Drosophila melanogaster: one gene and its partners. The protein of the gene in region 2 purifies or fractionates together with the protein of the main gene of each other region. This does not show direct contact. Each region holds a gene or a part of one and is shown on either strand. Other genes may lie near its edges.

Region 1 (8,846 bases), on a different chromosome or scaffold from region 2:
TGCATTCTGTGTTGTTTGGCTGACTGCTAAACTTGGCTTGGTCTAGGTGTTTATTGGAGCACAACGAATGCGTGTTGAATCCATGTTGCTTGATATCTGAGTGCTTGTGCCGCGACTTCTGAGAACAAGTTTGCTCAGCGACATCCAGCTGGGAGCTGAACTTTGGCTCTTAGCTTGCTCCAAATTAGAAGAGTGCCAGAAACGAGGGAAGTACTAACAGTACAATCAAGTTATTCAACTATGAGACTTTTAGCTTAGCTCTTTATTCACTTATATATCAAACAAATGTAAAATAAAGCGGAAATATATAATTATTAAAATTAAATGGTATAAAATTCACTGGAGCAGCAGAGCAGCATTAACTCGTTGCCAAAGAAAGAGTTTAATTGGCTTATCAGGGGAAATCGAATACTAGGGCGTGCCTCCCAATCACCCCACTCCCACCCAGCTGGTTTCTTCGCGTGATAACGCTTCCTCCACCGCCTTTGCATTGATAAGCAATCAGTAAAGCCGTCGAGTTAATGTAAATAAGTAAACCTAATGCCCGACACTTAGTACCCATGACTACGGGTCTAATTGACTTGGCCCAAAACCAAATGATTGATGGCCTTCTCAGGCAGCAAGCGACAGAAACAACCGAATGTTTATACATACATTTATACACATAATTGGTGCCAATAAAACTGTAGACAACACATGTCGCATGGAAATGCTTATATATGTACATCAGGGAATCGAAGGAGAAACCAAAAAAAAAAAAACCAATGTTCGGATGGACAACTCTTTTGGGGCTAGGCCAAAGGTCGAACAAGGTCACGGCCAACGATTACCGCATGAACATTGGCGTGAATATTTCGGATTTTTCCCCTTTGATCTGCAGTCAAGCTTTTCTCCCAGAATTAACAACTCTTGATTGCGTTTCTGTTTTTAGTTTTTCGCATTTCCCCACAATTTCTAAACTTTATGCGGCATTCGCACGCAGCTCTTGCTTTTGTTTTGCTCATGATGTTTGGACATAAAACTTATTATAATTTATTAATTACCAGCAGCGTTTGGCTTTGATAAAAGAAACACAATTTCGGTAATGGCCAACGGGCACGCAATCTAGCTGCTAGCTCTTTGTAGCTCCGCAAAGAAACGAGAAATAATTCATAAAATAAAAGATATACTTCTTTTACTGCCTTTTGCTTTGACATTATTCATGGCTTTCTCTCCCCTTTTTGTTGGCCTTTCAAATGGGTCAAGTGTGAATGACTATATTTCTGTGTGGAAATTGTGGGAGTCCCAGGAAATTAAAATGGAAAAGCATTTTGGTATTTAATTAAAGAAGATGTATCACAGAATGATTCGAAATATAAGTTAAATGGCTTTTTACTTTACTTCTGCTAAAGTGTAACTGAATACATTCCAGTTGAATTCAAATAATTATAGCTAGAAAGTTTCATGATTTACAACCCACCACCAACTTTTGTGTAAATTTACTTTAAGCACCGAGAATTCCTTTGAACGTAATTGGCTTGCATTGTTACTATCAGCTGTCTAGTTTGTCTGTTGTGGAGATTAGACCCGTCTGAACTATGCCCGGCTGCTACAGTTAACGTTTACGACCGCATTCTGACGCTTATTGCAATTAATGATTCGATGTTTACGGGTATAACTGCCCCGGGGGTCTGGCTGCAAATAAGTGAGTAAGTGGTCATGCTCGAATATCTTTTTGAGAAAACATCACGTAGGTTTTGGGTGCCGCAGGGTAACCATCCGCGTATCGCAATAAGCCAAGTCACCGACGGAAACTAATTAAAAGAATTCCGTGTACTGTCCCGGGCAGAACAATTGACGGACGAGCTGAAATGCCTTTTGTCTCATAATCAACTTTCTGGCACTCACTCACTTGCTCTCCCTAAAACAAGCAAAAACATTCCGCTGAAAGCAATCAATCAATCAAGCCACTCAAGTCCATCAATCTCCAGCTAAAGTCAAAACAAAAACAAACCTGCAATACCCTTGCCCTGAATACCCTTCGCTTTCGCCAGTGAATCGTTACCAAAGAAAGTAGGGAATACAGTCAATAGATTAATATCCCGTACAGCAAATATGGTGAGAAATAGAAATAGCCTTCTGTGTGCATTTGCAGATTGATATATGGCATAATAAATTAGGAACTCGCCTTTTCCCGTATATCTCTGTAAGTCAATAGTAATTCCTCTTCATAAACCATTCTAAAGGTAGGCAGTAGAACAATTATAATATGCACTTTCTAAATAAAATAAAGTATATAGTAATAGCCTAATGTTTATATTGTGGTTATTTACTAAAAATCTCAAGTCGTGTTATCAGTATGATTAGGCGTGAATAAGAATGTTGTTATTAGTAATAAATAAAGTGAATGAATTATGAAGTAAACAAATTTTGAAACCTAGACCTACGGTTCGGAATGTGAAATTGTATTTGTTTTTCTTTGCTGAGTAAACCAACTGAGTTTTCTAGGCTTGACTAAATTTCGCTGTTCAAAGGGTTCTAACTCACAATATATTTTTCAAAACCCTCAACATTTTTAAATTCAATTATTATATACTTACGCTGATGTAAATTGTTGTGTGTGGTGAGAAATCCAATGTTGGCAATAGTATGGATGTGGAGTATATACGGATAGATATTCAGACGAAGATGTGGCTGTAGTTTTTGTGTTGTGGGAGGGGCTGTTACAGTTGTTGTAGTTGTAAGTAGTAGACATATAGACAAGACGACGACAACGACGATGAGGACGTGGTCCGCGATGCCACGGCGGTGGCAACAGCAGGAGCAGTTGCAGATACAATCGCAGTAGCGGATACAATTGCAGTTGCAGGCGCCTGCAGAACGAGGGGATTGGGCTGACTGGCGAAGAGCTCCTCTAGAATTCAGCAAACTCCTTGGCACACTTCTCGGTGCTGGAGATCCGCAGCGCCTCCTCCTCGTAGTCATCGAAATTGCTCGTGTCGCCGGGACCCTTACACCGCGGAATGAACGGCGCCTCGATTTTCTTTTGGAAGATCGCAATCCAGTCGGTGGAGGCGAACCACTTCTGGTTCTTAATATCATTGACGCCCGCCTTCAGATTGCCGTAGCGCTTGGTCAGATCCACCTGCAGCAGGTTGCGCAGTAGGTCCTTCAGATCGGAGCCAAAGTGCGATGGGAAGCGCACCTTGCCGGAGACGATCTTCTCGTAGATCTGAATCGGCTGATCCGCAAAGAACGGCGGATAGCCGGCGGCCATTTCGTAGACGAGTACGCCCAACGCCCACCAGTCCACGGCCTTGTTATAGCCCTTGGACAGAATGATCTCCGGGGCCAGGTATTCGGGCGTGCCGCACAGTGTCCAGGTGCGTCCCTTGACCCGCTTGGCAAAACCGAAGTCCGTCACCTTGAGGTAGCCCTGCGAGTCAATCAGCAGATTCTCCGGCTTCAGATCACGGTAGATGAGGTCCAAGTAGTGCAGGTACTCGAAGGCCAGCACGATTTGCGCCGCGTAGAAGCGCGAGTGCGGCTCCGAGAAGCGGCCCACCTTGCGCAGGTGGGAGAACATCTCGCCACCGGGAACATACTCCAGCACCATGTAAAGGTTGGAGTTGTCCTTGAAGTGGTAGCGCAGCGAGACGAGGAAGGGGAACTGAATGGCCTGCAGGATTCGCTTCTCGTTCAGCGTGTGCTCCACCTGCTTCAGCTTGACCACCTTCTGCTTGTCGAGGATCTTCATGGCATAATAGTCTTTCGTGGGCTTGTGCTGGACGATCATGACACGGCCAAAGGAGCCGGTGCCCAGGGTCTTGATCCGTTCGAAGTCATCGAGGGCGGCGGTGTTGGTCGGATTGCGTCGCCACTTGTCCTCGAACTCCTCCTTGGCCTGCTCGAGGAACTCCTTCACCGTCTCGGCGGCATCGACCTTCTTATTCGACGTGGTGGCGTTGTTGCCCATCTTGGAGATGGTGCCCGTTAGCGATGACAAACGGAAGGTTGCGCTGGCCGACACTTGGGCCTGATCGTCGCCGGAGGTGCTAGGTCCTCCTCCCCCTCCTCCTGTTCCTCCGCTGGCTCCTCCTGAATCCGCCCCTGAACCGGGCGTGGTCGTGGCGGCAGGGGGCGTGCTCTTGTGGGCGGCGGCTGCTGACGAGGGGCCGCTGCTGCTGCTGCTAGCCTGGTCCGCTGGAGGTCCCGCTGCCGCTCCCGCTCCTCCCGCTGCCGCTCCGCCCTCCTCCTCGCAACTGGACTGCGCCTGTAGCTTGCCCTCGCCGGATGTGGAACTATGATGGGACTTTTTCTTTTTGAGGAACTGCAAAATGGACTTAGCTATTTTGCCGAGTTACGGGTCAACGGTGCGGATGAAATAGTTGCTCCTTATGGGCCAAAGAGAGCTTCTCACTGGAGCTCTCTCACTCTCTTATTCGCTGAATATCCTTTTAAATTGGTGTTTAGGTTGCGTTTTAAAGGCGCTTGGTTAAGACGCGTTTAAGTTATGGTTTTAGCACGTATTGGTTTCTTTAATTTGTGAGGTCTTAAACTAGTTATACACTTTAGGCTTAGACTAACATTTGGTTTCACACTTTAAGGTTGCTTATGATCGCGATTTACTCTAATTTGAGAAGCTGCAAAGAGAGACGGGAGAGAAAACGGCACAAATTAGCGGGATATTCGGTAAGGGGCTAAAAATAAGAGTCCAGTTTTCCGAGTTCTTTATGCACACATATAGATTATATTTTAAGTTTCTTATGTATTTTCGCTCTTTCGCATTTTTCACTTCATATTGTTTTTGTTCTCAGCGCTTTGCTGGCACTTTTATGGAGCTTAATAAAAAGCTGGTTATAATCACTGAATAAATAAGCTTAACAAAATCGCACACAAACTCGAAATTCAGAAAATAATAAAAAGAAGAGAACAGAGGAATGGCAAAGAGAGCGAGAGGAGGCGACTTTCGATCGTGTCAAGTGTCAAACAGCTGATGCCGTAGTGCCAGCTCACTCCCACTCACGCACTGTTACGCAGTGCTGCTTCCTTTTCCTCGCGCATTCCCTCTCATTTTCGCCTATTTTAATTATTAAATACTTTTTTGGCACCGTTTTGCTTTGGCTTCTGTTTTTTCATTTCCTTTGCTTTTGCTTCTTTGCGTTCACTGGTGTGCGTGTGTGTATGTGTGCGAGTTGATGTGCATATGTATGCGCTTCTGGTTTTACTTCTGCGATCTCTCTTCAGCGCTCTCTTCGCAGGCACTTTTCCACATTTCGCACACTTTAAATTAGTTAAATTGGCCTTTATTGCTCGGTGTGCTAAATTTTCGCCATTCGATTTGGGCATAAAAAAATCCCGTGGTTTAAACAAACACTATCGTACACGCATACACACTCAGCGCTCACCTAACACACACACACCAACATACACATACACAGATTGAATAATCGATTTTTTACATTCATTTCCTTTTTCTGAGTTTGTTTGACTTTGCTTTTCCATTTTCGCTGCGCGAAATTACCTTTTTGAAATTTACGACTACGATGCCAGCGATTTGTAAACACTTTCAGAAATATTGCCTCGACTTTCCGATCGATTTGATGCACTGTAGCTGTGGATTGATGGCTTAGATTAAAAATACCCGCATAGCCGCCGAACCGAGTTTTCCCGACCAAATCGTTCAAAGTTTTTTTTTCGACTGACGCGACTCGCGGATGCGCCCCAGCACGCAGGTGTGAGTAGGCCAGCGATAGGCAGCTCGCTCAGCGTGAACCGTGCGGCGCAATCATGAGTAATCCCTACTGCGCGGGTTCTATTCCGTCTGAAAATCTAAATGATCGGAAATAGCTAGCGGTTATCCAAAATTTTAATAAATAATTATAATAATATATAATTCGTAAGCTGTAAGGATTATTTTATTGTTATGTTTAAAGAGTTCTAAGCTGCATGAAAGATATAATTTTTAATAAAAATAGAGCACTTGTTTAATGAAACGTTGTATTATGAAGTAAGTTTAGATTCGATTTTACGAAATATTTTTAAATGGATTTCCTTTTTTATTTTATGAAATTCTATTTGGGAATTCCCTTAAATTATCAAAAGTATATTTAAGCTAGGGCTGCAGAGAACACAATTTCCGTTACGATTAGTATTGCCTAGATGGCAGTATGACCAGTCTTATTTGGTATTTCCGAACCACCTGCGAACGGTTTTCTAACGCTAACGCACGTGTTTGAAAGCGATTTCAATTGTTCTGCAATTGCCCTCAGTGAAGCAGCAAGCGGAGAGGTTGCATTTTAAAGCACTTTTTTCCAGTAAAAGTATACAATAAACAAGCCAATATGGTGAGTGCATCCACGTTAGCATCGAGAGATGTAAATTTCAACAAGTATCCCAATCTTTGCAGACTGAGGAAGTTAATCCCAAGGCATTCCCGCTGGCCGATGCCCAGCTTACCGCCAAGATCATGAACTTGCTGCAGCAAGCATTGAACTACAATCAACTGCGCAAGGGAGCCAACGAGGCCACCAAGACCCTCAATCGCGGACTGGCCGATATTGTGGTGCTGGCCGGTGATGCGGAGCCCATCGAGATTCTGCTCCATTTGCCGCTCCTGTGCGAGGACAAGAACGTGCCCTACGTCTTCGTTCGTTCCAAGCAGGCCTTGGGGCGTGCGTGCGGAGTTTCCCGGCCAATAGTCGCCTGCTCTGTGACCACCAACGAGGGCAGCCAGCTCAAGTCGCAGATCACCTCCATTCAGCAGGAGATCGAGCGACTGCTAGTCTAGTAACCCTTTAGATTTAAGTGAACATTCGTACAAAGTGGTAATTTCAAATTGAAATTTTGAATAAACATGTGTATTCTTTAATGCAATTGTTGTTTCCAACGCACATGGTTGGCTTGGAGTGCCCAATTTTTGGACACCGGATACCAATGCCGAAAAATACCAGAAAATACTAAACCAAAGGGGTCAGCTGGTATAGCCGGCAAAGTGCTGGCAAATAAATAAGCTAGTTTAATATAAGCTTATTTCATATAAATTATTGAACCAGACCAAAATGTACATGTGCATGTAGAATATTTATTTATAACTATAAGTTATTTATTCATAGAAATAGAAAAAAATCTGAATGGTAGCTTATGCAAACTACTTTAAGAAAGCCAATCCTGGCGGCAAAATAGCCAGTCGCACATCACCGTTCGCCCCTGGTGAATGTCACTTGGCCGCCGATTCTACTGACCACCACCATTGCCACACCATCCTGCCGATTCGATCAGCGGTGTGAACTTAGCAACTGCGTGAACCCAATGACAACGATGCACCGCCGCCTTTGTGAACGGAGGGAATTACTGGAATCTGGGTGCAAGTGACAAGCGGCTAGAGGAATCAAAGCACTCGGTATAAAGGCAGTGCCTGCCGACGAAACAAATACCAAATCCTGACCAGCAACGAGACGGGATGAAGCTGCTGGGCAAATACGTGGACAAGGGCATGCAGGGGTGAGTGAATATCCCCAGAGTCTTAAACTATTTTCGTTATGCCTCGAAAATTCTTTTAGAAATGTGACCCTGGTGCCGGAGGAGTCCGAGGATATGTGGCACGCCTACAATTTGATTGCGAAAGGCGACAGCGTGCGCAGCACCACTATTCGCAAGGTGCAGAATGAAACGGCTACTGGCTCCTCCACCAGCAGCCGGGTGCGCACCACACTAACCATCGCAGTGGAGAGCATAGATTTTGATACGCAGGCTTGTGTGCTCCGCCTTAAAGGCAGAAACATCGAGGAGAACCAGTATGTCAAGATGGGCGCCTATCACACCCTCGACCTGGAGCTGAATCGCAAGTTCGAGCTGCGTAAGCCGGAATGGGACACAATTGCCTTAGAGCGCATCGAAATGGCCTGCGATCCCACACAGTCTGCGGATGTAGCCGCCGTTGTGATGCAGGAGGGATTAGCACACGTCTGCCTGATCACCGCCAGTATGACCCTGGTGCGGAGCAAGATTGAGGTCTCCATACCGCGCAAGCGCAAGGGCAGTGTCCAGCAACACGAGAAGGGACTGGCCAAGTTCTACGAGCAGGTTATGCAGAGCATCCTGCGGCACGTCAACTTCGATGTGGTCAAGTGTGTGTTGATTGCGTCGCCGGGATTCGTGCGCGATCAGTTCTATGACTACATGTTCCAGCAGGCGGTCAAAATGGATTACAAGCTGCTGCTGGACAACAAGAGCAAGTTTATGCTGGTGCACGCATCCTCGGGATTTAAGCACTCCTTAAGAGGTGAGCCATTTACCCTTATGAAGAGATATGTTCTAAGTCAAATTCTTGCCTTCAGAAATTCTACAGGATCCCGCCGTGCTGGCCAAGATGTCTGACACCAAGGCAGCTGGCGAGGTCAAGGCCCTGGAACAATTCTACATGATGCTGCAATGTGAGCCCGCCAAGGCCTTCTATGGAAAGAAACATGTCCTCCAAGCCGCCGAGTCGCAGGCCATCGAAACGCTGCTGATCTCGGACAACCTCTTTAGGTGAGTTACACTTGGTTGAGCCAACGTATATATCTATGTATATTGAAGTAATTACTAGCTGGGCACACATTAAGCCCAATCAAGCGGGAGATCAAGAGCACGATCGCGAGTATAACTAGAAACCTTCAACTTGGCAAAATTGTGTGAGAGTGCTATGGCAATTGGTGTGCTTGTGTCGCCATATGGAACGCATGTCACCAGACTGCTTTGGGTGCCGGAAAGAATACAAATATTGGGGTAATTCAGAAAATCTGAAGAAGAGCAATCAATTTAATTACTGTATCGATTGTGCTTTAATTGATTTGCTATGCCTGCGACTGTGGTTTTCAATTTAT
Region 2 (9,681 bases):
CACACTGACTGACACACACGAATGGACGCACAAGCGAATACAACGGTAATCACAGAGTTGCTTTTCTGCGGTTCCAAGGGCGCATGCGCCGAAAAAAAATCGCTGAAAATTCAGGGACTGCAATTATTTCCTCTAAAACTCGATTTATAAATAAAAAGTAGCATGAAATATATAGAAACTCCCCTACGTACTAAACAAGACATTCGGAAATTTAGTATGAAACTTGTTTGGGAGTCGTAGAACATGCATATTTCCTCCCTCATGGCAGTACATTTTCACACCCTTTTGCAAGTGTGTGTGATGTGATACGGTGCATAAAGTAACCGTTTTTGCATTCCCAAATTGAAAAAACTTAACGTCTGGCGAAAAATCATAAGGAAGACCAAAGACTATTATCATCTAACCGATAAAATATCAACCTACAGCATCCTGCAGTTGATTTCGCAGACTAGCGCTACTCGGTGGGCGTGGGCAGGACTCACGCACACTTCTGCACCCAACCTATACATACACGACGGGCACAAAGAAGTTGCCAGACAACGGTGAAAATTTCCCAACGGTACCGCCGACTTTTCTTACCGTTATTGTTACTGCGGCTGGCCAAATTGTTTTTTAAATGCGATTAATTGTTAACACTCACACACACACACTTGTGAGAGTGGTGGGCTATTTGCAGCAGGGTGCCACTAATCCACGGGGGTGGCGACTCCGCACAAAAGCACGGCACACACAAACACAGATACTTTGCTCTGCTCTTGACTATCTTTCAGATACTTTGCATACTATTATTCACTTTTTTGTAGGGTGGTGCACTAGCACCGCTGCAACCGGTTGGCGGATTGCTAATCGCGTACCGCTGCCGTATATCCGTCTATCCGTACCCGTATCCGTATCGGTGTCCCAAAACAAACGCTCACACGCACACACAAATACTCGCACGCTCTCGCGATTCGCCGACTAGCGCTGAAATCCGGTTCTCGATCGCTCGACGGTCCAAACAAGACTGAATCGGATGCTCAGATACTCGCCATCGGATTTAGATACAACGCTTAAACCGGCGCTCTCTCTCTCTCCCTCTCATCCTCTCTCTTTGCGCTTTCTGTGTGTGTGTGTGTCCGAAGGGGCGATTGTTTGGGAAATTTCTGGGACATTTCTCACCTGTTGCCTTGTGGACTGTGTTTGCTTGGATTTCAGCTGCAAATGTAGAACTTAATTATCTTTATAAGACGATAACTATTTTATTTTGAATATAAAACACTGATTAAACACTGATTGATTAGTTTAGTTTGTATATATTTATTTGCTTAACCAACAATATCCACACAAAGCCATGCCGAGCGATTTGGCGGAATATGTATGCTTACAAATGTGTTTATAATTTTTCACACGCTGATATTGAGGGAACATACATACATTAATATCAATTTAAGTTACTCGGAGTACAGTGCAAACTGCATCTATATCAATGGACAATAAAAAATACGTTGTACACAACCAAACAGTATTGAATTTTAATTTTAAGTTAATGCAAAATGAGTATTGGATTAGCGCAAATACTGCGATTTGAAGCATTTATAAGTTGTACAGAGTAAATGCTTTTGATAGAATATTAAAGGTTAACACTTGGGTATGGAGTACGTATGTTGTAATTGGTATCGAAGGTCAATTAAAATTCGAGGGAAGACACAATAGTGTTTACAACTAAGCTAAAACTAACAAAATCAATTAAAATTAAGTGGTTACCTAATAATTATTGTTATGTACAAGTTAAACAATGCGGAGACTTAGGTCAACACTTTGAGCGAGTTTTGTGTACGGTTTGTCTTGCGAGTATCTTAAGTAGCAGGTCAAGTCTTTACGGTTGAATCTCATGAGGATAGTTACTTTCATATGCTAGGTGTATGTACGTGTGGGGGTTTCTAAAATAAATGCTCCCCAGCTAAAGAGCCGGAATGAGAACCATGTGTTGTAGTCTATTTGTGTCATGACTGTGGACGAAACTTGTTCAGTTCTTGTTACCAGGATCTGAGCTATTGCTTCACACTTAAAAAGATATCGAACTCCAGCCACTTTAATAAGTTAAACGACAAGCAGTAAACTAATAAATTCAAGCTGGTATATATGTCGGACTATTGATTAAAATGTATGCATGTATATGGGAGTAATCTGTTATACATTTTTAAGCATTTTTTTATATTATCGCCTTAATTATTAAAGTGGCTGGATTTCAGCTCATGGCTATTAATTGTATATGGCTATTTGGCTTAACCTTATAATATCGTCCTGGAAATGGTTAAATTCGTATTTAGTTTCGACGACTTGCGTCCTGGATAATTATCTTGTTCTTCTGACGCGTCACTTTCGTGGCCGTCGGAGCTGGCATCAGACGCTTCAGCTGCTCCGGCCTGAAGCTGACCAGGGCCTTGTCCTTCACTTTTCCTACGGCTCCAGTGGTGGTTGTCGACGTAGTGGTTGCCGTGGCCGTGGTGGTTGACTCAATCAGGGCCGTGGATTCCTCGGCCGTGGACCCTGAGGAACCGGCTGCGGCAGCTGACGCATATCTGGTGAGCACATGGAACTTGGCAAAGATGTTGCGTCCGCTGCGTTGCTCTTTGTCCTTGTATTTGTCTAGCGCCGAGCCGGTGGGCATCGGCTTTGGCGCTTTGATCAGTGCCTTGCTTGGATTGCCGCCACCTTTGTAGAAATGATCGTAGTCGAAATCACTACTGGCCTGCACCGGCGGGGCGACACAGGCAGGGGCCAAAGCTCGTTCTCCGTAGCTGGCCGAACTGGCCGACGTTTCCTCCGCCATGTGACGCAGCATCAAAGTGAGTTTCATTTCGTGCTGGCGCTGCAGCAGCACCGCATTCCGTTCGCCTTCCAGTCTAGCCTGGCGCACGGCATTGGACAGAACACGCTCCTTCCACTCCCAGGCATCCCGCTCACGCTCCAACTGCACCAGCTGCAGCTCCAGCTTTCGTGAAGAGTCGCGCAAATCGATAACCTTCGTGAAGTATTTGTACAGAAGTGTTCGCATCTCCTCCGTTGAGAGACGATTTAGGCGTGCCATCAGCATCTGTTCTCCCTTCTCCCGCTGAATTCGGTCGCTCGTGTCGATGGAGCGGTGGCCCGTGATCATCTCGTTCTTGAATTCTATGGCCGCATCTATGGCCTCGATGGCCTCATCGCACTCGAGCAGCTTGCGCTCCTCCTTTTGCGTCAGCACCTTGTCCCGCTTAAGTTTGCGGTCCAAATGACAGCGTTCTTCCAACAACAAGTCACGAGTTCCGCGCAAGTTGCGGATCTCATGACGCAAGGTCTCCTGCTGTTCTGGTCCCGGCTGCTCCTCCAGGTTATCCGACTTCTCGCGTAAAATGTGATTAAGGTGCGTAATCCTAGCCTGTACTGCCTTTAACTGGCGGCCTTGTTGCTCGGGAGAACCTTGCGCCTTCACTAGCTCTTTGCCAGTCTCCCTGGATTCTCGTAGTTTGGCCAGCTCCGCCTCCATCTGGCAGCGCAGCTTGCACTCCTTTCGAAGCTTTTTCTGTAAATCATCGGCCTGTTTTCGCGACTCGCCCACCGATTGCTGTAGCTTCTTCACCTTCTGTCCGCTCTCACCCGCAATATGCTTCATTGAGCTGAGGTCTTCTAGTCGACGCTCGAGATGTCCGATTATCGTGGTCCATCGCTCAATCTCCGACTGATCCCGGCCTTGAACTAGCGCCTTACCTAACTGCTTCTTGGCCTTGTCGCACTCGGCCTCAAGTTTGGCACGTTTCTTGTGAAATCTTTGCTTTGCATGGCTGCGTGTATCGCTGTTCTTGACCAATTCGGCGATTATATTTTGTTTTACCTGGATTGTCTCTTCGATTTCCCGTAACTGTCGTTGCTTGCCCTCGATCTCAGCGACCAGTTTGCGCAATTTTTTCTGCAGCTGTTCAATAGGAGCAGTGGCGGCGGCGGCAGCGAGAGCCGCCTGACGGATTCCTTCGCCCGAAGAACTTTCCAGAGGATCGACGACCGACTCAGGATCGATGGGCGGAGGCGGCTGCTGGGAAGCTACCCGATTAAGCATGGCAAGCTCAGCAGTACTTAAGCTAGCACCTGGCTGAACACTTCTCCTGCGACCTATTAAAGCAAGGAATCAACATGTTACTGTATAAAAAAATGTTATTCAAGGCAAAGACTTACTGCCAATGCTGACTTTTCGATCATCACCATTTTCTTCTGGCGGCTGTGCCTCAATCTCGCGGTCTTGGCTTTGCATAACCGCCTTCGGATGCTTGGATAGATATTCAGCGTGTTTTTCAAGTATAAGAGCGTCTGTTTTGTCGCGAAACTCTTCCATTAGACTTTCTATCTTGTCGTCCAGATCGGGCCGATGCGACTCATTGTCTGTGTCGTTTTCGTTGTCGGAGTTTGGCGACTCCGAATTGGCTGCTTCAGAATTCACGTCCTCGGGCTCCTCGGCCTCCAGAATGGGAACCAACTGTTTTTGCTGACGCATAGCCTCTGTTGAGCTGAGACACTCCTCGCACTCCTGCTTGAGGAAGAGCCACTCCTCGATCTGCTCCTTCTCCACTTCAGTAATTAGCTTGGAGTCTATCAGCCTATAAATTTCTTTTGTCGTCAAAAGGCCCACATCGGAAATAATGTGTACACTTACTTGGAAAATAGCCCCTCGGCGTTGGTAACTAGTTTGGACCATTGGCTTGCTGCGAATTGTAGGCCAAAGTTGTCCCCTGGTCCCGCCTGCGACAAGGGTCCAGCAGAGGAATTGGATTCGGGAACAGGCTCAGCCGGCTGAACGATCATCGTGTTGTCGTCGGAGTAGGTGTTCATAATTACAAAATTACGTACGCACTGCACCTTAAAGGCGAACTGCAGGTTGCCAAGAGTTTCGGGCAAGTGCTCTTCCAGCGGTGACACGCACAGGATCACGAGCGTCTGAGCCCGTCCGCCGAACGAGTCCTTCAGGAGAGTGGTGAGCGTGGTCTGACCGTACGGAATGTTGCCATTAACCCCGTACATGAGGCCTGGATCTGTGAGAGTACTGATCACCTGCTCCAGCATACACAGGCCAGCATCGAGAGGACGTCCCGGTGGCTGGTCTCCACATCTCTCTGTGCCGCAGAGATCCGAGAAACTGGCCGTGGACAAGCGGTGCTGCAACAGCCCCTCCTTGGACACCCACTGCTGCTCCAGGGTAAGCGTGAACAGGGTGTGCGCCGGCAACGATTGGCGGGCCGACAGACCCACCTGCAACCAGTGGAAGACGGCATCTACGTTGGTGCAGTGTATGTTTCCCATGCCCAACAAGTCGCAGACATCACCTCCGCAAATTTCCACGAATCCCACGTTGATGGCATAGGTGCGTTCTTAAAGTGAAAATGGAAATGGATAACTATGCTTATAAGATCCTTTTAGTAAACTCACCTGGGTGCAACGATATGTGTGAGAAAATGTCACGGACACAAAGTTGGACGACTCCTTCGGTGGAATCCGTCAGAGTAGGGTCCTGGACGTTTCCGTAGAGTGTGTAGCTTTTGCCCTGGCCCCTCTGGCCATAGGTGACTACAGATGCGTCGAAACCTTCCAGGAACAGGGTGATGAGCGGAAAGACCGTCTGGTGGTACACTTGCTCCTGGGAGCTGCTGCTGGGCAGGGCGTGGGTGACCGGAACCGTGTGGGGACCGACTTGTATCAGTCCAGCTGCAATGCTGTCCATGGGATCTCCGCCTGGCAGGGCACTGGGCAATCCCAGGGCCGAAGCGCTGATGGGAATAGCCTGAACGCAATATGCGGAGTCTGGGTAATCCTTCTGACCACTGTCGTTGCCATTGGCATCTGGAATTGTCTTCGAATCGGCCGCACTGTCCTGCTCAGCATTCCCGTTTGGGTCCGTCTCTGAAATTGACGGATTGTCCTTCTCAGCCGCCGGAACTTGAGCCTCGGAGTCCTTGGAGTCCGCCCCCTCATCCACCGCCTGCGCATCCTTTTTGGGCTCTGTGGGGCCGAAGCTCCTCAACAAGTCCTTGAGCTCTCTATGCGGGAAGATGCGCACCGCTACCTGAATGGGTATTTCCATGGTGGTTAGGCAACTAGTCCTGGTCTCGCAGGAGCTCTTTCATTCGATATCCTGCTCTTTGTTTCGCATCTTTGCGCTTTCAAATACGTGCAAAAATTCAACTCCCTCCGAATCGATACAATGTGATAGTGTGGCCGACGCTAAAGCGCCAACCCAAGCCGAAAATACCGAATCCATGTAACAGTTTGTTACTGTAAAAATCAAAATCAGTTTCCAATCAAATTGCTGTCAAATGTCAATTTTAAGACTGTGAGCTCACAACTATTCTTCAAACTGGTGAGTAAAACCGAATTCTATAGATAGATTCTCGTCAAAAGACTTAAGCTTGAACTGCTGTTTTTTTTTAAATGCCAAATTGCTGCCGTGCTGTTGGTTGTGATCTTCGCTAACCATGGGCTTATATAGTATACACAGACAGTAAACTTTGGTATTTTAAAAGTTGCGATCAGCATGGTCGGTATATGCTAAAGGTCTCACTGAGCGCGTGTTTTTTTTTGTGCTAAACGCTTCGTTTTGAGAATTAAGTGCAGTAATCACCATAAATTAGCATGTCCAAGCGTCGAATCGAAGTGGGGGAGACCTACGGCAGCAAGGCGAAGAAGTAAGTGACCCGAGGCCAACATACGGCAGTAATGTAACGCTCCTTTCTCACCAGGGACCCGGAGGCGTCCTCCTCGTCGGCGGCAGCCGCTGCCGGCACAGTGGCTCAAATCCTGGGCGGATTCGTGCCCAACAAGCAACCGCCCACGATGAACCCGCTGACCAACACGCCGTACTCACAACGGTACCAGAATCTCTACAAGAAGCGCATTGCGCTGCCCGTGTTCGAGTACCAGGCGGACTTTATGCGGCTGCTCAGCCTGCACCAGTGTATTGTGCTGGTGGGCGAGACTGGCTCCGGCAAGACGACCCAGATCCCGCAGTGGTGCGTGGACTTCGCAGTATCCAAGGGGCGCAAGGGAGTCTCCTGCACACAGCCACGTCGAGTTGCCGCCATGTCCGTGGCCCAGCGCGTTTCGGAGGAGATGGACGTAAAACTGGGCGAAGAGGTCGGCTACTCCATCCGTTTCGAGGACTGCTCCACGGCCAAGACGCTGCTCAAGTACATGACCGATGGTATGTTGTTGCGCGAGGCCATGTCTGATCCCATGCTGGACCAGTACCAGGTCATTCTGCTTGACGAGGCTCACGAGCGGACCTTGGCCACTGACATTCTAATGGGCGTGCTCAAGGAGGTCATTCGTCAGCGCAGCGACCTTAAGCTGGTGGTCATGTCCGCCACACTGGACGCCGGCAAGTTCCAGCAGTATTTCGACAACGCACCGCTCATGAAAGTGCCCGGTCGCACACATCCCGTGGAGATCTTCTACACGCCCGAACCAGAAAGAGATTACCTAGAGGCTGCTATTCGCACGGTAATCCAGATACACATGTGCGAGGAAATTGAGGGTAAGTTGGTAAATGAGTTTAGCTTGGAGTTCATTTAATAGCTTGCTAGTTCATTGTTCTAAGAAGCATTTATCGATCATATGTTTACAATGTAAAAGTGCCAGGCAAAATATAAACTTTCCGAGTGCCGAAGGGCGGCAAATGCTTCGTATTTGCTTTAATGGTATTGTAATCATTCAAGTGTTTACGACTTTTGAATATGATCCTATTCAATGCCGGAAAAGACGCATTCGCTTTTTCCATTGTAAACTAAACCCCAACTTGATTTTGCTACTCTAGGTGATATCCTAATGTTCCTCACGGGCCAGGAGGAGATTGAGGAGGCTTGCAAGCGCATCAAGCGCGAGATCGACAATTTGGGCTCAGAAATTGGAGAGCTGAAATGCATTCCCCTGTACTCGACGCTGCCGCCCAATTTGCAGCAGCGCATCTTCGAACCGGCCCCGCCGCCAAATGCTAATGGCGCAATTGGACGCAAGGTCGTGGTGTCCACCAACATTGCCGAAACCTCGCTGACCATTGACGGAGTGGTGTTCGTGATTGATCCAGGCTTCGCCAAGCAAAAGGTGTACAATCCTCGCATTCGAGTGGAGAGTCTGCTCGTCTCACCCATTTCAAAAGCGTCTGCGCAGCAGAGATCCGGTCGTGCTGGACGTACGCGTCCTGGCAAGTGTTTCCGTCTGTACACGGAAAAGGCGTTTAAAAACGAGATGCAGGACAACACCTACCCCGAAATTCTGCGCTCCAATTTGGGTAATGCCTAGATCCCCTGGAAGTATTACTCGATTTCTAATATCTTGTTTCTTATTTTTGAGCAGGCACTGTGGTTCTGCAGCTCAAGAAGTTGGGCATCGATGATCTGGTGCATTTCGATTTTATGGACCCCCCTGCTCCAGAGACCTTGATGCGTGCCCTGGAGTTGCTCAACTATCTGGCCGCCCTGGATGATGACGGAAATCTTACAGACCTGGGTGCCGTTATGTCCGAGTTTCCATTGGATCCGCAGCTGGCCAAAATGCTGATTGCCAGCTGCCAACATAACTGCTCTAATGAAATACTTTCCATAACGGCCATGTTGTCGGGTGAGATAAAACACAAATCTAAGAAACTGTCTTCGATAAGTTGGGGGTCGCACTTATACTTTCATGGCTGTCACTTTTCGTTTTTCAAATACGTAAATACGACTTGTACCTAATTTCGATTTGTGCCGATGCATACTTTCATTTATTTCCGTTAAAGTGGCTGCCGTGAATACTTTCTACGTTATAAATTGAAAGTCTGAGGTTTCGGGGAAGTATATTCTATATTCTTGAAGGGATTTATGTAATTTCTTAAGCAACAATGCAAAGGAAAAAGTTTTTCAATTTATTTGTTCTTTGCATTCAACTCGAAAAGAAAAGTTGCACATGCGTTTAAAAGTCCAAGCCCATTATTTGAATGGATTGATGTGCAAAATATGCCCGAATAAATAGTGTTTTTATCTTTTAATGTTCCGCGAACGCACTTGCAACTCACAAATGCAATCAATCTTTGAATCAAGCCTCTAGATTGCCTAGCTGACAAAATGAAAGCACAATCTATTTGTTTATGTTAAAAATTGTTTTGAACTTGCGCTTAATCGAAACTAAACCAATTCAAACGTGCCAAAGTTCCACAATGCTTCGTTCGCCCCAACGAGGCGAAGAAAGCTGCCGATGAGGCCAAGATGCGATTCGCCCACATTGACGGAGACCACCTGACGTTGCTTAATGTCTATCACGCCTTTAAGCAGAGTAAGTAAACTAAACCAACCTATACTCGAAATGGAAACATAAAGACATATTTCTTTATTTCTTTCAGGCAGTGAGGATCCAAACTGGTGCTACGAGAACTTCATAAACTTCCGCTCGCTAAAGAGTGCGGATAACGTGCGCCAGCAGCTGGCTAGAATCATGGACCGCTTCAACTTGCGGCGCACGAGCACTGAATTCACCTCGAAGGACTACTATGTAAACATCCGAAAGGCCCTCGTGCAGGGCTTCTTCATGCAGGTGGCCCACCTGGAGCGCACTGGCTACTATCTGACCATCAAGGACAACCAGAACGTGCAGCTGCATCCGTCGACTTGTCTCGACCACAAGCCCGATTGGGTCATCTACAATGAG
Region 3 (7,327 bases), on a different chromosome or scaffold from region 2:
ACTAGCTCCCCGCCCGCTGTTTTGTAATTGGCAATATAAGGAATGCCCGAGGTATCTATTTTTATACCGCTTAGCATAGTCGTTATGGTGATAAATTCCGAAGGGGGGGTGGGGGGTTTGTTCGTTATGCTTTTCAACCCCGTGACCTCCCACCGCGCCCAATGGGGCATACTTTTGGGGGCGCCGGGAACTGGGAGGTGTTTTAATTCCACCATCGTTGGTTTATTGAAAAGTTGTCATAACTCAGAACAGACAAGCCAGCAAAGTTTCGAGTCCTCTCAATTGCGGGCAAATACAGGCAGATCTTAAAACTATAATGTTTCATTAAATTCACGCCGTCATTGAATCGAATATCGTGTTTTCCCGTTGGTAACTATCTAGATATATGAACTAATTTAAAAGGAAAACTCAAGGTTTTTATGTAAAACGAACGCGTGGTTTTTCTAGCAGCTCATTTTCATTTCAATTGAACTTTAAGATGAGCTTAAAACTCGCCTTTCGCATTTCAAATACCAAATAATTGGTAAACATTGCCATTTACACAATCAATCATATTATAACTTCTTCGGGTAATGAGAATGAAAACCTTTTCTTTTGGATTGAAAGTGCAATCGGATTCCGAGAGACGCCATAATCATAATAGTGCGCCCGCGGATGGGCATATGTTCATTTGTACATACATACATCTCATCCGAATCGGACTTTGAGCCATGTTCTCGACACGCGAGATAAGCGGCCGGCAATCAGAGAACTGGTTTCAATTGCGGATCGGGTCAAAATCGCCCAACCTTGGGCCATTGTATGCAAGTTGTCTGTGCGAAACTCAATGAGCATAAATTAGTCTCAATGCAGGAATGCCTCAAGTGTCCGGCCGCTCGTCCATTTCCATTGTCCAACCATTATTGCAGCTGGCCAAGCGCTGGCTTATCACTCGAGGCGAGGCCCAAAAGGCGAAGATAGAGACGAATGATAATCAATTGGCCATAAAACGGGTGAAGTGTGGATGGTGTTTGGGTTAGCCGGGTTAGTCGTCGTCTGTCTAATCGAGTGGCAATCAATCAATTTGGCAAATCGGACAACCAATTCACAATCTAATCCACAGTCTATCCACGATGAGCAACAGCGAAGGAAGCGGCCACGAAAGTGGAATCCGTACACTGAATCGCAATGCGAATGGAAACGGCAATGGAGACCTCAGTCTGATGCAGGATCTGCAGCATAAGTACGCCTTCCTCGAGAATCTCTTCAGCAAGTTCTGGAAGTCTATCATCAAGTCGAATTCCAATCTCAAACTGCAGTTGCGCAATGTCAAGTGGAAGAATGCCAAGGCGAAGCCCGGCTGTGCCTACCAGCCAACGGAGGTGAGTTCTATACATTGTATGTGTACAGTACACCTGACGCCTAAACCACATTTACTCTATCCAAAAAAAAACAGATCGAGCAGGTGGCCAATGTGATTACTCACGGCATTTGGATACTGCCCGCCGTTTTTGCGGCCATCAAGCTGTTTGAACGCTCCTCCAGCGCCAGCCAGTATCTGGTTGCTTGGGTCTACGGCGGAGCCCTGTGCATGCTCTTCACGGTGTCCACCTTCTTCCACTGCTCCTGCTATTGCGCCGAGCACAAGTGAGTGCGCACACAGGCTGATTTAACCATTTGATTTGTACATTTTTGTATACCTCCACTAGACCACCGAAGAATGTCAAGGCCTGGCCCTGTCTCGGCTGGCAGACGTATCAGGGGCTCAAGAACGTGCTCCATCGCTGCGACAGGGCGATGATCTATGTGTTCATCGCCGGATCGTACTTCCCCTGGCTCACGCTAGAGAACACCGATCATTCGGCCATACTCTTCTGCATGGAATGGGTCATCTGGCTGATGGCGGGCATAGGAATTGCCTACCAGCAGGTGGGTTCATTTACAGCACCCGTGTTCACATGCTCCTTAAGGTGAAATTTCCTTTTGTTTGGCGAAAACAGGTCTTCCACGAGCGCTACAAGTGTCTGGAGACGTTCTTCTATCTGGTGATGGGCCTGGGACCCGCTCTAGTCGTTGTGTTCACTGGCCACCACTTCCACGGTATGATGCAGCTCAAGTTCGGCGGCGGCTTCTACATTCTGGGCATTGTATTCTTCAAGGCGGACGGCACGATACCCATGGCCCATGCCATTTGGCATCTGTTTGTGGTGCTGGCCGCCGGATGTCACTATTACGCCATCCTGGTGAATCTATATCCAAGCGAGGGAGCCGCAGCACCGTGAACAAACGAGCGCCACAAAGCAGTTGTGGTAACATGCAGCGAATTTAGAACTTAGAGTACTTAACGACAGGGATTCGATGTTGTCAGCCATGTGTAACGTATTCCTATGATATACCCGATGTACCCGAGTCTCTGCTCCACAATTAGCCAAATTTTAAGCGAGCGAGGACGCCTAGCTTGTAGTCTAGTTGTAGCATTACGAACTAACTAAATCGAAACGATTCTTGTGATCAGTATGTGCGGTCTTGCCAAAGATTCAAATTGTGCGAGTGCTCATCTCTCCCTCTCCCTCTCAACTTTAACTTGATATTATTAGCGATATTCATATATTTAGTATCCATAACGACCCGTTTTGGCCATGTGTTTCTCAAAAGACTTTGAACCGTACTCAAAAGGCAAAGGACACGAATATTAAACTTGTACAAATATCCGAGAGTTAACGACCTGAACCTTTTGAACACTAGAAGCCCGCCTATCCCGCATTGCATTATGCATGTTTATACAGATTATACAGATATATTATATACCCATATATACCCATATACACAAGTAGATAGAATTAAGAGGCCATCCGATCCGCGAGTCCAGCCCCTTCGGCCAGTTTCATCGCCGAGCTCAGGGACAAATCGATGTGTTCGCAGATACTGAAGAAGGTGACTATTTACAAATACGCTTGATATCTTGATATTTTCGGGGCCTGGCTCGCGATCGGCGGATATAGCTTTCGTGTACTACTCGTATTTATGGTGCAGATCGATTAGTTTTAATGGCTCTAATAAATTGTATATTTCCAAATGAAAGCAAAGGGCTCAGATGTTTGTTGCGTGCTCAAATATAATTGTTCGTTTTACAATGTTATGCATGTATCTTGTTTAGCTTATTCATACATCTTGTTTAGCTTTAAATATATGAATATACATATATTCTTTTTTTGGTTGCAAATATATATATATTATTTTATTGAAAATTTTTTTTTGTTTGTGTAGAATTCTAAATATTTAAATGAACGAAATCTAACGGGGCTCAAAAGACATAAAATTGTATCTAATTTTAATTCGTTATTTTCTTTTCTTTAAATGAAAATTTCAAGCTTGATTTGAATTCCCATATTTGAATTTTATGTGACCGTTACGAATCAAGCGAAGGTGTGAAACTTGGCTAAATGGGTTCGTGTATTCGCTAAATGGAGTGAGTCTTAACTAACGCGGTGTAGAAAATGAACAGTGTGACCAGCCGAGTGCCTAGAAAAATAACGAAAACGCGTTTAGCCACCGTAAAGCCACCCAAATAGCTTAAATTGACCGACAACCGCGAAACGTGCACACTGCTTTGTTGTTGCCGAAGAAGGAAAGTCGCGCAGTGAATTTTTTTCTGGTAATTTTTCTTTGCTCCTCCTGACACTCGCCACGTAAATCAAACACACGATCCAAGTGAATAAGTTAAAACGTTTTAAAAATCATGACAAAGAAGCTGTTTTGTGTGCCCCATGCAATCCGTGTAGCTACAGAATAAGTGTGTGAGAAGAAATAAATCCCCATCGAAAAAACAATACACACACAGACACTGCAGCATGTACATATATATGCATATAGATATATATATATACATACATGCACAGGGTTTCTAGCGTGACGTGAAGTGTATATAACGAAGCGAAATTAAAAGAACACGCAAAAAGAGAAAAGTGGAGAGGAAACGATAGTGGAAAACACGCAGACATTGTGAAAATGCGCATAGATCATATCGCAATTGTAGTAGTACAATTACAAAAAAACCAAGCATTTTTGGAGTTTTTCTTTTCTTTTTTCAAGTTATACATGTTATTTTTTTTGCTGTTGGCCTCAAATACATACATATGTACATCTGAATAGAGCGAGTAAAGAGCAGTATACAGATACTCGCTGTTTTTTGTTTCTTATTTTTTGCTGTATACGGTTTTTTGTGAAGTTATTGAGCTGAAAGAAGAGTGCAAAAGCGATTGACGAGCCGAAAACATGTTGTAAAATTCCATTCAGCATTTCCCACCACTACCAACAACAGCAAAGCAAAAGCAAAGCCGTTTTTGCTCGCTCTCCCACTCCTTCTCTCTCTCTCTCCCGTCCACTCGTTGTTACTTCATGTACTAATTTTTTTTTCTGTGCTTGCGGCTTCGTCATTCGCATGTATATACATATGTGTGTGTTGCGCCTACGTGAGAGAGCGTGCGAGTGTGTATATGCCCGCAAACGCATAAACACACGCGCACACACTTGCAAGGCGATTCACGCGCCTGGCTTACACTTTGTTTTTTCTTTTTTTTTTCGTTTCCGTTACAGTTGTGTAGTACATAGCAACATGCAAGCATCGCCCAAAAATCATATGCACATACACATAAACAGTAAGTTGTACATAAAAACAGCAGCGTGTGTGTGAGTGCTTAATTCTTTTTTTCCATTTTAGTCTCTAACTAAATAATAATAACTAAGCCGCTGGGTAAGTGGTTTTGTTCGTATACAAACAGCTTTTTGGGGCAAAGAAACAACAAGAGAAACCCAAGGGCAGTAAGAACATATAACGAAAGGTAGGCGAAAAAGACAACAACACACATGCATACAGTCGCGTCCAGTTGTGAAGGGCCGAAAATTCTGGAATAGATTTCGCTTTACCTGAGTGTTTATCGCGTGTCCCTTTTTCACTTCCTTTAGTTCCGCTGCAAATCGACTACCTACATTTACGCATATCCTGTATACATATTACTTCCTGTTTCACCAACTATGCCACCATGTGTTTCTTGCTGCGCATAAATTGGAGTATTTTGTGATTGCTTTTAATAAGTAGATATGTACCTATTTTTTGGTGGTCGACTGTGGCGACCGCCCTACGTCGACGGCATTGCCAGCTGTTATCATCGAAGGCAACGTGTTTTGGCGTACACTTCACTTACACATGTGTCCCTGGTTAAGATATGACATATTTTGGAGTTTCCCAGAGCTTCTGCAATTAAAATAATTGTAATTTCTTCGTTGAGTGTTTATATAGCTTTAGTTGGCGAAACATTATTTTAAAGATCCTCATTAGCGACACGCGCCTTTCGGTTTATGGCCCTCCCTTTTCCATTGAAGATCAGGGATCCTGGATATTTCCAGGCAGGTAGTGAGCGCAAGGGAAGATGTTCGCTTCGCCCTCCGTTGTTGTCTCTATCGTACGCTCAGCTGCCGTATTTTTTGTTTTTCAAGTTGCAGCTGGCTGGTGGGAGAGGAGTGGAGTGGTGAGGAGAGGGCAGCTGCATTTATTTCCTTTTCTCTTCATCTCCGCTTCTCGGTGGGTCATTCCCCTTCTTGCTGTTGGCAATGACGTCGCATCGCAACGATCGTTCCCTTCGCTTAAAGCGTATTGGAAATATTGGAAATGGCGGTAGCTAGTACTACCCCCACCTCCACCAACACTCTTAATTCACATTTCTGCATTCCATTGAGGTCATTCCCTTGCGCAAATTGCACGTTACACAATTCCCATGAGCGTTGCACCCCGTTTTAAACCTTATTTGGTCTTCAGTTAATAAAAGCTTCCCAACAGTGGTCTCTAGATAATGCAACTACTTAGCGTCGTTATTTAAGAGTATATTTTGTAGCGTTGAATGTTCTTATTTCGATGTTTTTATGGCAGATAATACTGAGTTAAATGAAGTTGAATACGTCCTTGAAAGTATATATGTTTCGGTTCCGCAATGTCAAGTGTTCACTGTACTTTTTAAGCTCGCTCAATGTTTTAAAAAGCATACATGCATACATATGTACATACATGCGCATTTGGATACACTTGAAATAACAACAGTATAATAACAATCCAAGCGGACGATCAGCTGGAATGTTCGATGGATCGTTGATTGTGTCTGGCAATGCCGCTGTGATTTTGTTTCCAGACCGAGATCCATTCATGCATGCGGGTACATGACTCATTTTCCCAGCTGAGCGATTGTTAGATGCACAGATGTGTACATGCATCTTCTATATGTATATATGTATACATTAGCTCATGTACTTAAATGGGCTTTTATCAGCTGTTTAGAACACACATTCACTCAAGCACTGCATAATAGTGCTGCTCTATTTACACAACTGTGCTCCAAATTAGCAGACTACTGTTATCAAACTGTAAAGTTTTTCTCGCATTTTGTTATTGCTTTACAATTCGCTGGCGCTTTCTCCATCTCTTTCCCTCGTACACTGCCGAAAAATGTCTGCTAAATGGTGTCAATGAAATCAATGAAAGCCTGCATTGTTTTTTTTTTATTATTGTTATGTAATATTTTTTTCTGTTGTGTATCATTGCAATATTATTTGCTGCTTTGAATTATTAAACAGCTAAAAAAGTCATATATATTAACATTTTATCGTAATATTTAGAAATAATTTTGAACTATTTGTTTTCAATTTTTTAATATGATACATTGGATATATTATTACCACGCATTGTGATATGCATTTTCCCCAAAAGTTTTGTCCGTGATGGACTTTCTTTTATTTTGGTTTTTGATTTCATGGTGATTTAGCTTTCACCCATCTGCATATGGAAAGTCTATGGGTCTTTGGTACTCTATTACTTATGTTTGAATTTTCTTTCATTTCTGGGCTCTCCCATTTTCGGAATGACCGACCTTCTGGTTACCCTTTTGTATTTTCCCCCCACCTTTTTGCTTTTTCCGTATTCACAGCTTGTGACGCTTTTCGTTTCTCTATTTCCGCATTTTCCGTTTTCACGCTGGAAAGCGAGGTACACACTCTGTTTTATATATTTCTGTACATATTTTCATTTTCCTTCCCCTGGGCTTCTTTCTTTTTTTTCGGCATTTGCTGTATATTGTGTACATGGGAAAAGAGCAGCCCTCGAATTTGATGACCGTACCACCCCATTCCAGCCGGCTTTTATTCTGGTTTTTGTGTTTCTGAGCGACCCAATGCGATTTAGGCCGCCCCACCCACTTGGCCGCCGCCCCCCTTTGCGCCTTCGTTTGGCTGCCCTCGTTTTCTCTGGCTCCTCTTCTTCCCCCTTCTCCGCTGCTCGCATCTCTTTTCGCAGCTTCGTATT
Region 4 (6,488 bases), on a different chromosome or scaffold from region 2:
TTAGTACTTTATTTTCTAGGCTGGGAAAGCAGTTTCAATAAATAGCATTTTAAATACTTTGCGCCCTTGATGCGTAAAACATACACATTTTACTTTTCAATTTATAGGGTACTTCATGTTAGCTGACACAAGGATTTGATATACATTTTAATTAGCCTTTTACAAATGGCGTTTAAGCTTATAAACAGGCTAAAAAGTCTTTCTGTGCACGGCTTTCTGTCCCTCCTCCTCGTATTCCCGCTTCGAGATCCACATCTTCTTGAAAGTATCGAGCGAGGCTAAAATCGATCCGCCCATCCATGTGGAGTACAGACGTTCCTGCGGCGCAGCGATCTGTTAACATAAATTCGTGAGTTTCAGAACTCATGGCACAGAACTATACAATTGTTAGAAATAATTACCCTGATCTTGAGATCCTTAGCCGAGTGTTTCTTCAGTTCGGACAACAGACGGTCGCCGAATCCTTTGAAGAGCGTTGATCCGCCGGACAGCACGATGTTCTGGTAGAGCATTTTCCTGAGATCCATATCTGACTTCTCGATGGAGTACATCAGAACGTCGTGAATGCCCTCACATTCCTCGCCCAGCAGATCGGGCCGGAAGAGCACCTCCGGCGCCCTGAAGCGTGCAGGTCCAATCTCAAAGATCTTGCCGTCGGGCAGCTTGTAGGCAAACTTCTCGGTTTCCACGGTCTCCTCCTTCTGCGGATTGGTGGCCAGATAGCAGACCTTCTCCTTGATGGAGCGCACAATCTCAAATTCGGCAGTCGACCGGAAGTTAAAGCCCTCCCGGCGGATGAGTGTCTTCAGGTAGCGCGTCACATCGCGCCCGGCGATGTCCACGCGCATAATACTGTGAGGCATGGCGAATCCCTCGTAGATAGGAACCGCATGCGTCACACCGTCGCCGGAGTCGAGCACTACGCCAGTCACACGACCGGTGGCGTAGCTGCAAGAGTGTGGTTAAATGAAATCGATAGGGGCAGTTCGTGAGATTGCAATGCTTACAGACTGAGCACCGCCTGCATGGACACAAAGAGCGCAGGTGCATTGATGCCTTCAAAGAAGAACTCGGCTGCCTTTTCGCGGTTTCGGCGCGGATTAAGCGGGGCCTCGGTCAGCAGCACGGGATGATCCTCCGTGAAGGTGGCCAGTTGTTCCTGGTCAATGCCATTTAAAACATTTAGTTAAGATTATGGAACATTTATGGACAAATTACTTTGCTGTAAATGTAGCTCCATATCCGCTCCATGTCATTCCAGTCGGTGACAATGCCGTGCTCCATGGGGTACCGGATGCTAAGCAGGCCACGGTGCTCCTCCGCCTTGGGTCCAACGAATATGTCGCCCTCCAGCGCACCAGCCATCACTCGGACATGCTTGGGCCGGCCAATGCTGCAGGAGAAGGCATTAGTTCTAGGGGTTCTTAAGGTTCGTGAGTGGTCCACGGCACTTACTAATTGGGAAACCTGCATTTTGGAATGTGCTCACCAGCAAAGCCGGCTTTGATCACACCGGAGCCCTGTCAAAAGTGATGTGGAATACATTTAGTTAGTTGCGTCAGCTTATTTTATTTAAAATTCAACGTGCAAACAGGAAATCTATATAGTCAACATGGAATCCTTTAGTGTGCCGGAAGTGGACATGATGACCGTGTCAAAGAATTCGCAATACGAACGGGAATCGCTACTAAAGTTCGCACCGCCAGTTGGACTGACCAACATCAGCTACGGCAGCTTGTACAAGGTGGACTCCTTCTATTTGGAGTGCCAGAAGTACCGAGATCAATTCCGCGATCCCTACAACAAGCTGCTGCGCCCCAAGATGTTCAGCACATACAGGGGCAAGTGTGGTGTGAAGATAGATCCCGAACTGGAGCGCTTAAAGCGACCCGCTGCCTCCCATGTGGAGTCTATTCCCGTGGTTTACCCAATGGAGTACGGGCACCAAATGGACTTCGACAGAGGCTTCCAGATGCAGGGACGCAACAGCAGGGATGCAGCCACCGCCCGCAGATATCCGTGTGTGCGTGTGCTGGGCAGATAAAGGGATTCCACGCAAGCTTTATAGACCAAATTCCCCGTTTTCGCTGTCTTCACTTCCGAATTGAACCATCTCTGGCGTTTGCGGAGCTATTCTCTCTGGGATTAGTCATGTTGGCCATTTGAAGACGGCTTGAAAGCTCGTTGACAAAGGGACGGGCGGTAGGTGATGTCACTGTTTGCTGGCTAAAACTTTGGGAACCCTAGATTTGCACAAAGCTACCCGCATTTAATGAGCCCCATCTCCACTTACGTTATCTATGACGACGGGCTGGTTGACGACGACATCATAAGGCTCCATTTTGTGCGTTTATCAAAATTTGCAAATTTTCTATTAAATAGTTGGTCAACAGGGTGACCGTAGGTGGTTGGCAGAAATAAACAGCATGTAAAAATATACCACGGCAAGAAATACTCAATATTTTACATGGTGGTGGTTTAAAGCTATATGGATATATATTTTCACTGTTTTTCTCTACATTTTAAAAATAAGCAGAAAAAAGTAAGAAAGTAATAATTATTATAAAAAAGGTTTTAAAAATAAATAATGGTTTTAAAAGAAACTCATGTAAGTTTCCATTGTCAAATCCGCACTTTACATGGCAGTATTTTTATTCATGGTATATTCAAGCGGTGGTATTCCGCAACGTTCCAACTGAGGTCATACTGATCAAACTGGATGAAATGGCCGAGGCGAATTTGGACAAAAAACCTGAGGTGAAGCCTCCGCCGGGCCTTAAGGCCATCATAGACCACCTCGGGCAGGTGTACCCCAACCAGCCGAACCCGCTGCAGGTGACCACACTGCTCAAGTACTGGCTGGGCGGTCAGGATCCGTTGGACTACATTAGCATGTACAACTATCCCGGAGATGTGGATAGGAACGTTCCGCCGCACTGGCACTACATTAGTTTCGGACTCAGCGACCTACACGGGGACGAGCGAGTCCACTTGCGCGAGGAGGGCGTCACTCGGTCTGGCATGGGGTTCGAGTTGACCTTTCGCTTGGCCAAAACAGAAATAGAGCTAAAGCAGCAGATTGAGAACCCGGAAAAGCCCCAAAGACCGCCCACCTGGCCGGCGAACCTGTTGCAGGCCATCGGACGCTATTGTTTTCAAACAGGCAACGGGTTGTGCTTCGGAGACAACATCCCGTGGCGCAAGAGTCTGGATGGCAGTACCACTTCCAAGCTACAGAACCTGCTCGTCGCCCAGGACCCGCAGTTGGGCTGCATCGACACTCCCACGGGCACGGTGGACTTCTGCCAGATCGTCGGCGTCTTTGACGACGAACTTGAGCAGGCATCGCGTTGGAACGGGCGCGGTGTGCTCAACTTCCTTCGCCAAGATATGCAAACTGGCGGTGATTGGCTGGTGACTAACATGGATCGCCAGATGAGCGTCTTCGAACTGTTTCCCGAAACGCTGCTAAACCTACAGGACGATCTGGAGAAGCAGGGTTCCGATCTGGCCGGCGTTAATGCAGATTTTACGTTCCGTGAGCTGAAACCTACCAAGGAGGTGAAGGAGGAGGTGGATTTCCAGGCGCTGAGCGAGAAGTGCGCCAACGACGAAAACAATCGGCAGCTGACGGATACGCAAATGAAACGCGAGGAACCAAGCTTTCCACAATCCATGTCGATGAGCAGCAATTCGCTGCACAAGTCCTGTCCCCTGGACTTTCAAGCGCAGGCACCAAACTGCATTTCACTGGACGGTATTGAGATTACCCTCGCACCTGGTGTGGCCAAGTACCTCCTACTGGCCATCAAGGATCGCATCCGACATGGGCGCCACTTCACCTTCAAGGCTCAGCATCTGGCGCTCACTTTGGTGGCGGAATCCGTCACCGGCTCGGCGGTGACAGTGAACGAACCGTACGGCGTGCTGGGCTACTGGATTCAGGTCCTGATTCCCGATGAACTGGTGCCGCGCCTGATGGAAGACTTCCGCAGCGCGGGCCTAGACGAGAAATGCGAGCCCAAGGAGCGACTGGAGCTCGAGTGGCCCGACAAGAATCTGAAGCTGATCATCGACCAGCCGGAACCTGTGCTGCCCATGTCGCTCGACGCTGCTCCTCTGAAAATGTGATGGTGTCCATTGGTTAGCTAGTAGTTATTTAAATTAATCGAATTGAATCTTCCACTAACGAGTAAGTTTTACATTTATACATCTCATCTAACACAATGCACGTGGCCTTTGCTCCTCGCCGGAGTCCAGTCAAAATATACAAACACATACATATACCCGAAACCACTCGACGGGCCTTTGATCGCAATATGAAAAGAGGAAGCGCCGGCGCCAGGAGCGGCGAACAATTCGCCGGATGAGTCAAGTTGGGGTCAGGCTATTGAGCACTGGAACAGTTCGCTTTGGTGGCTGCGGCGGATATGGCCACTTGCAGGCGGTGGAAGTCATCGCCACCGACTAACCACCAATTGATGGTATTGCGCAGTGGACCGCCGAATGCTTCAGTTTCTAATTCTGGGAATTGATCAATTAGAAGAGCATTCAATTTGAACACAAAATCCCGCCCGGGATCATGTGATTGCGCGAGGAACTGGACCTGGAGCAGCTGCATCATCAGCCTGGCTGATGGGAAACCCTTGACGCATCGCTTGTCTGAGCGTTGCCTAGGTGAATTTTTGTTTACCGCAGAGAACAGTTGCTCTGCTTCTCCGATTAGGCGCCCCTCATCAAGTGAGCGAGCGATTTTTCGCAAAAACAGCTCGTGGAAAATAATTCAGTTTTCTTCATTCCGCCGCCGACGACGCAAGCGTTCGGTTGTGTGCTCGCTCGAGAGGTCTCCACCCGACCACTGATTCCCGCGATTCTCGAGTCGGCTTCATCTGATTCCCAGAGTCTTCAAGTGAATCGCACGTCTGCCTGCAGCGACTGGAGTTCCGGCTTACAAGTACGTAGAGGAGCGGACTTGAAGTTCGTCCAAACGCCGGCGATTACATAAGGGCCAACCCATCGACCGGTGGATGACCTTCGGTTTAGGCAGTGACCCCCCTTGGGATTGAGCTGGGTGTCGAGCGAGCACGTGCATGGCGTTGATAGCGCGAACTTCGGTGATAGCCGCCAAGAACGACAGTGGTTTTAGTTGTATTTCTTTATTTTTACTACAATTCCGTCGAGCGGTTCGCATTACATTGAGTTTTCGCTGTGGCGGCGATGCGGTTTTTTCGGCTGCCCCGCGGCGGGAAAAAGAAACGTTTGCAGAACGGAACGCTGCAATGAACCGTCAACCATAGACAGTAGACCCACCTCGAGCTACCGCGCCCCGAACCCCTCAAGTGCACTCGACAAGGGCATGCATAATCGAAAAATGCGACGAATTTCAGTTATCGCTTGTAATGCAATCTGTGTTCTGCGCAGCTTTAAAAGTGCATTACAATGTTGCTGACCAGATACTAAGCAGGGAAATTGGAGGCGGAATCGAAAGTTATGTGGCCATGATATCTTTGGATATTAATTTGAACCAGTTTTTTTTATGGTTCCTCGTTAACTGAGCTTTGCAATTTAATCCAATTTAAACTTTTCGTTGGCTAAATAAGTGACTAACATGCTAAAGAACAGAAGGGTAACTTATTTAAAGATACAATTTATGTTATTTGAAATATTCAAAAGTAAAAGGCATCCCTTATATCTTTATACCTTTATAGCAATTCCCTCAGCTTATCTCCAGTCGAAACTGAGATCTTCCCTAGTAACTCTCCCTTAAGATCTAGCCTTTGTTGCTCATTTAGTTCGCCTCTGGTTCGCCGACAATGTAAACTGCATTTTCATTTGTCGGGGGCGCAAATAGCGATAAAAGTGTCCAAATATTTGACCAGCCAATTCCGCGTCAGTCGGCGATTATTTTCCGGGATGGGGAAATGCGAGTGGCACTGGTATCATTTCGGCATATTTGGGTGCAGTGTGGCTTACTGATACGCGGAGTGCGTCCAACCGATTCAATGCACTTAAACCTCATACACTATATGATAAATTTGCAGGCAGCACTCCGAATCCAATCCTAGCCAGCAGCCATGGCTGAGAATGAACCGCTGAACGACCTGCAGAGCCAGGTGAATGGTCGTATCCTGCCCGCCGCCAATGGACATACAGCATCCGCGACCAACGGATTGGTGCATGCGAATGGCAAGGATGCAATGAAGCCGTCAGCTCCCGTTCAGAATGGGAATGGCAACGCGAACGGGACACACATCGAGGCGCCCTGCTGTCGGGACATACACGGCAAGGAGCCACCGGACGGAGGAGCACGCGCCTGGCTGGTCATGGTGAGCGCCTTCCTTTGCAACGGCATCATCTTTGGGTTCATCAACACCTACGGCGTTATCCATTCGCTGCTGACGGATAGGCTTACGAAGCTCGGCGATCCGGAGGCGTCCAGCAAAGCGGGTGAGTGTGTCACGGAAATCGGGTATCGAGTATGGGGTATG

What was found.
Region 1: the proteins of cos (region 2) and Pka-C1 purify together in Drosophila melanogaster (affinity purification with western blotting; 2 studies listed by BioGRID). This does not show direct contact.
Region 3: the proteins of cos (region 2) and Sxl purify together in Drosophila melanogaster (affinity purification with western blotting; 2 studies listed by BioGRID). This does not show direct contact.
Region 4: the proteins of cos (region 2) and Su(fu) purify together in Drosophila melanogaster (affinity purification with western blotting; 3 studies listed by BioGRID, with this or other methods). This does not show direct contact.

The regions. Positions count from the first base shown.
Region 1 is NT_033779.5:9,693,612-9,702,457, forward strand, and holds the start of Pka-C1 (protein kinase, cAMP-dependent, catalytic subunit 1), read right to left. Parts: upstream 5,687-8,846; 5' UTR 5,504-5,686; exon of another isoform or gene 5,091-5,503; intron 4,821-5,090; 5' UTR 3,956-4,820; coding exon 2,894-3,955; 3' UTR 2,580-2,893; intron 1-2,579. Other genes in the region: hoip (hoi-polloi), read left to right, coding at 6,324-6,326, 6,389-6,769; pelo (pelota), read left to right, coding at 7,442-7,482, 7,542-8,263, 8,319-8,511. UniProt on the Drosophila melanogaster protein: Serine/threonine-protein kinase involved in memory formation. Promotes long-term memory by phosphorylating meng and by regulating CrebB protein stability and activity.
Region 2 is NT_033778.4:7,380,892-7,390,572, forward strand, and holds cos (costa), read right to left. Parts: upstream 6,225-9,681; 5' UTR 6,089-6,224; coding exon 5,437-6,088; intron 5,379-5,436; coding exon 4,667-5,378; intron 4,611-4,666; coding exon 4,192-4,610; intron 4,129-4,191; coding exon 2,306-4,128; 3' UTR 1,285-2,305; downstream 1-1,284. Other genes in the region: Dhx15 (DEAH-box helicase 15), read left to right, coding at 6,637-6,689, 6,744-7,537, 7,817-8,290, 8,356-8,619, 9,187-9,309, 9,377-9,681. UniProt on the Drosophila melanogaster protein: Regulates cubitus interruptus (ci) processing by recruiting multiple kinases to promote its efficient phosphorylation.
Region 3 is NC_004354.4:7,094,308-7,101,634, reverse strand, and holds the start of Sxl (Sex lethal), read left to right. Parts: upstream 1-3,581; 5' UTR 3,582-3,634; exon of another isoform or gene 3,635-3,690; intron 3,691-3,866; exon of another isoform or gene 3,867-4,011; intron 4,012-4,568; exon of another isoform or gene 4,569-4,637; intron 4,638-4,699; exon of another isoform or gene 4,700-4,820; intron 4,821-7,150; exon of another isoform or gene 7,151-7,327. Other genes in the region: CG4615 (uncharacterized protein), read left to right, coding at 1,113-1,361, 1,436-1,626, 1,689-1,908, 1,980-2,261. UniProt on the Drosophila melanogaster protein: Sex determination switch protein, which controls sexual development and dosage compensation in females. Sxl protein is only active in females: it is inactive in males throughout development.
Region 4 is NT_033777.3:12,687,675-12,694,162, reverse strand, and holds Su(fu) (suppressor of fused), read left to right. Parts: upstream 1-2,694; 5' UTR 2,695-2,724; coding exon 2,725-4,131; 3' UTR 4,132-4,290; downstream 4,291-6,488. Other genes in the region: CG31347 (uncharacterized protein), read left to right, coding at 1,613-2,044; Arp1 (Actin-related protein 1), read right to left, coding at 190-333, 402-948, 1,008-1,159, 1,219-1,393, 1,456-1,520, 2,294-2,341; kar (karmoisin), read left to right, coding at 6,075-6,447.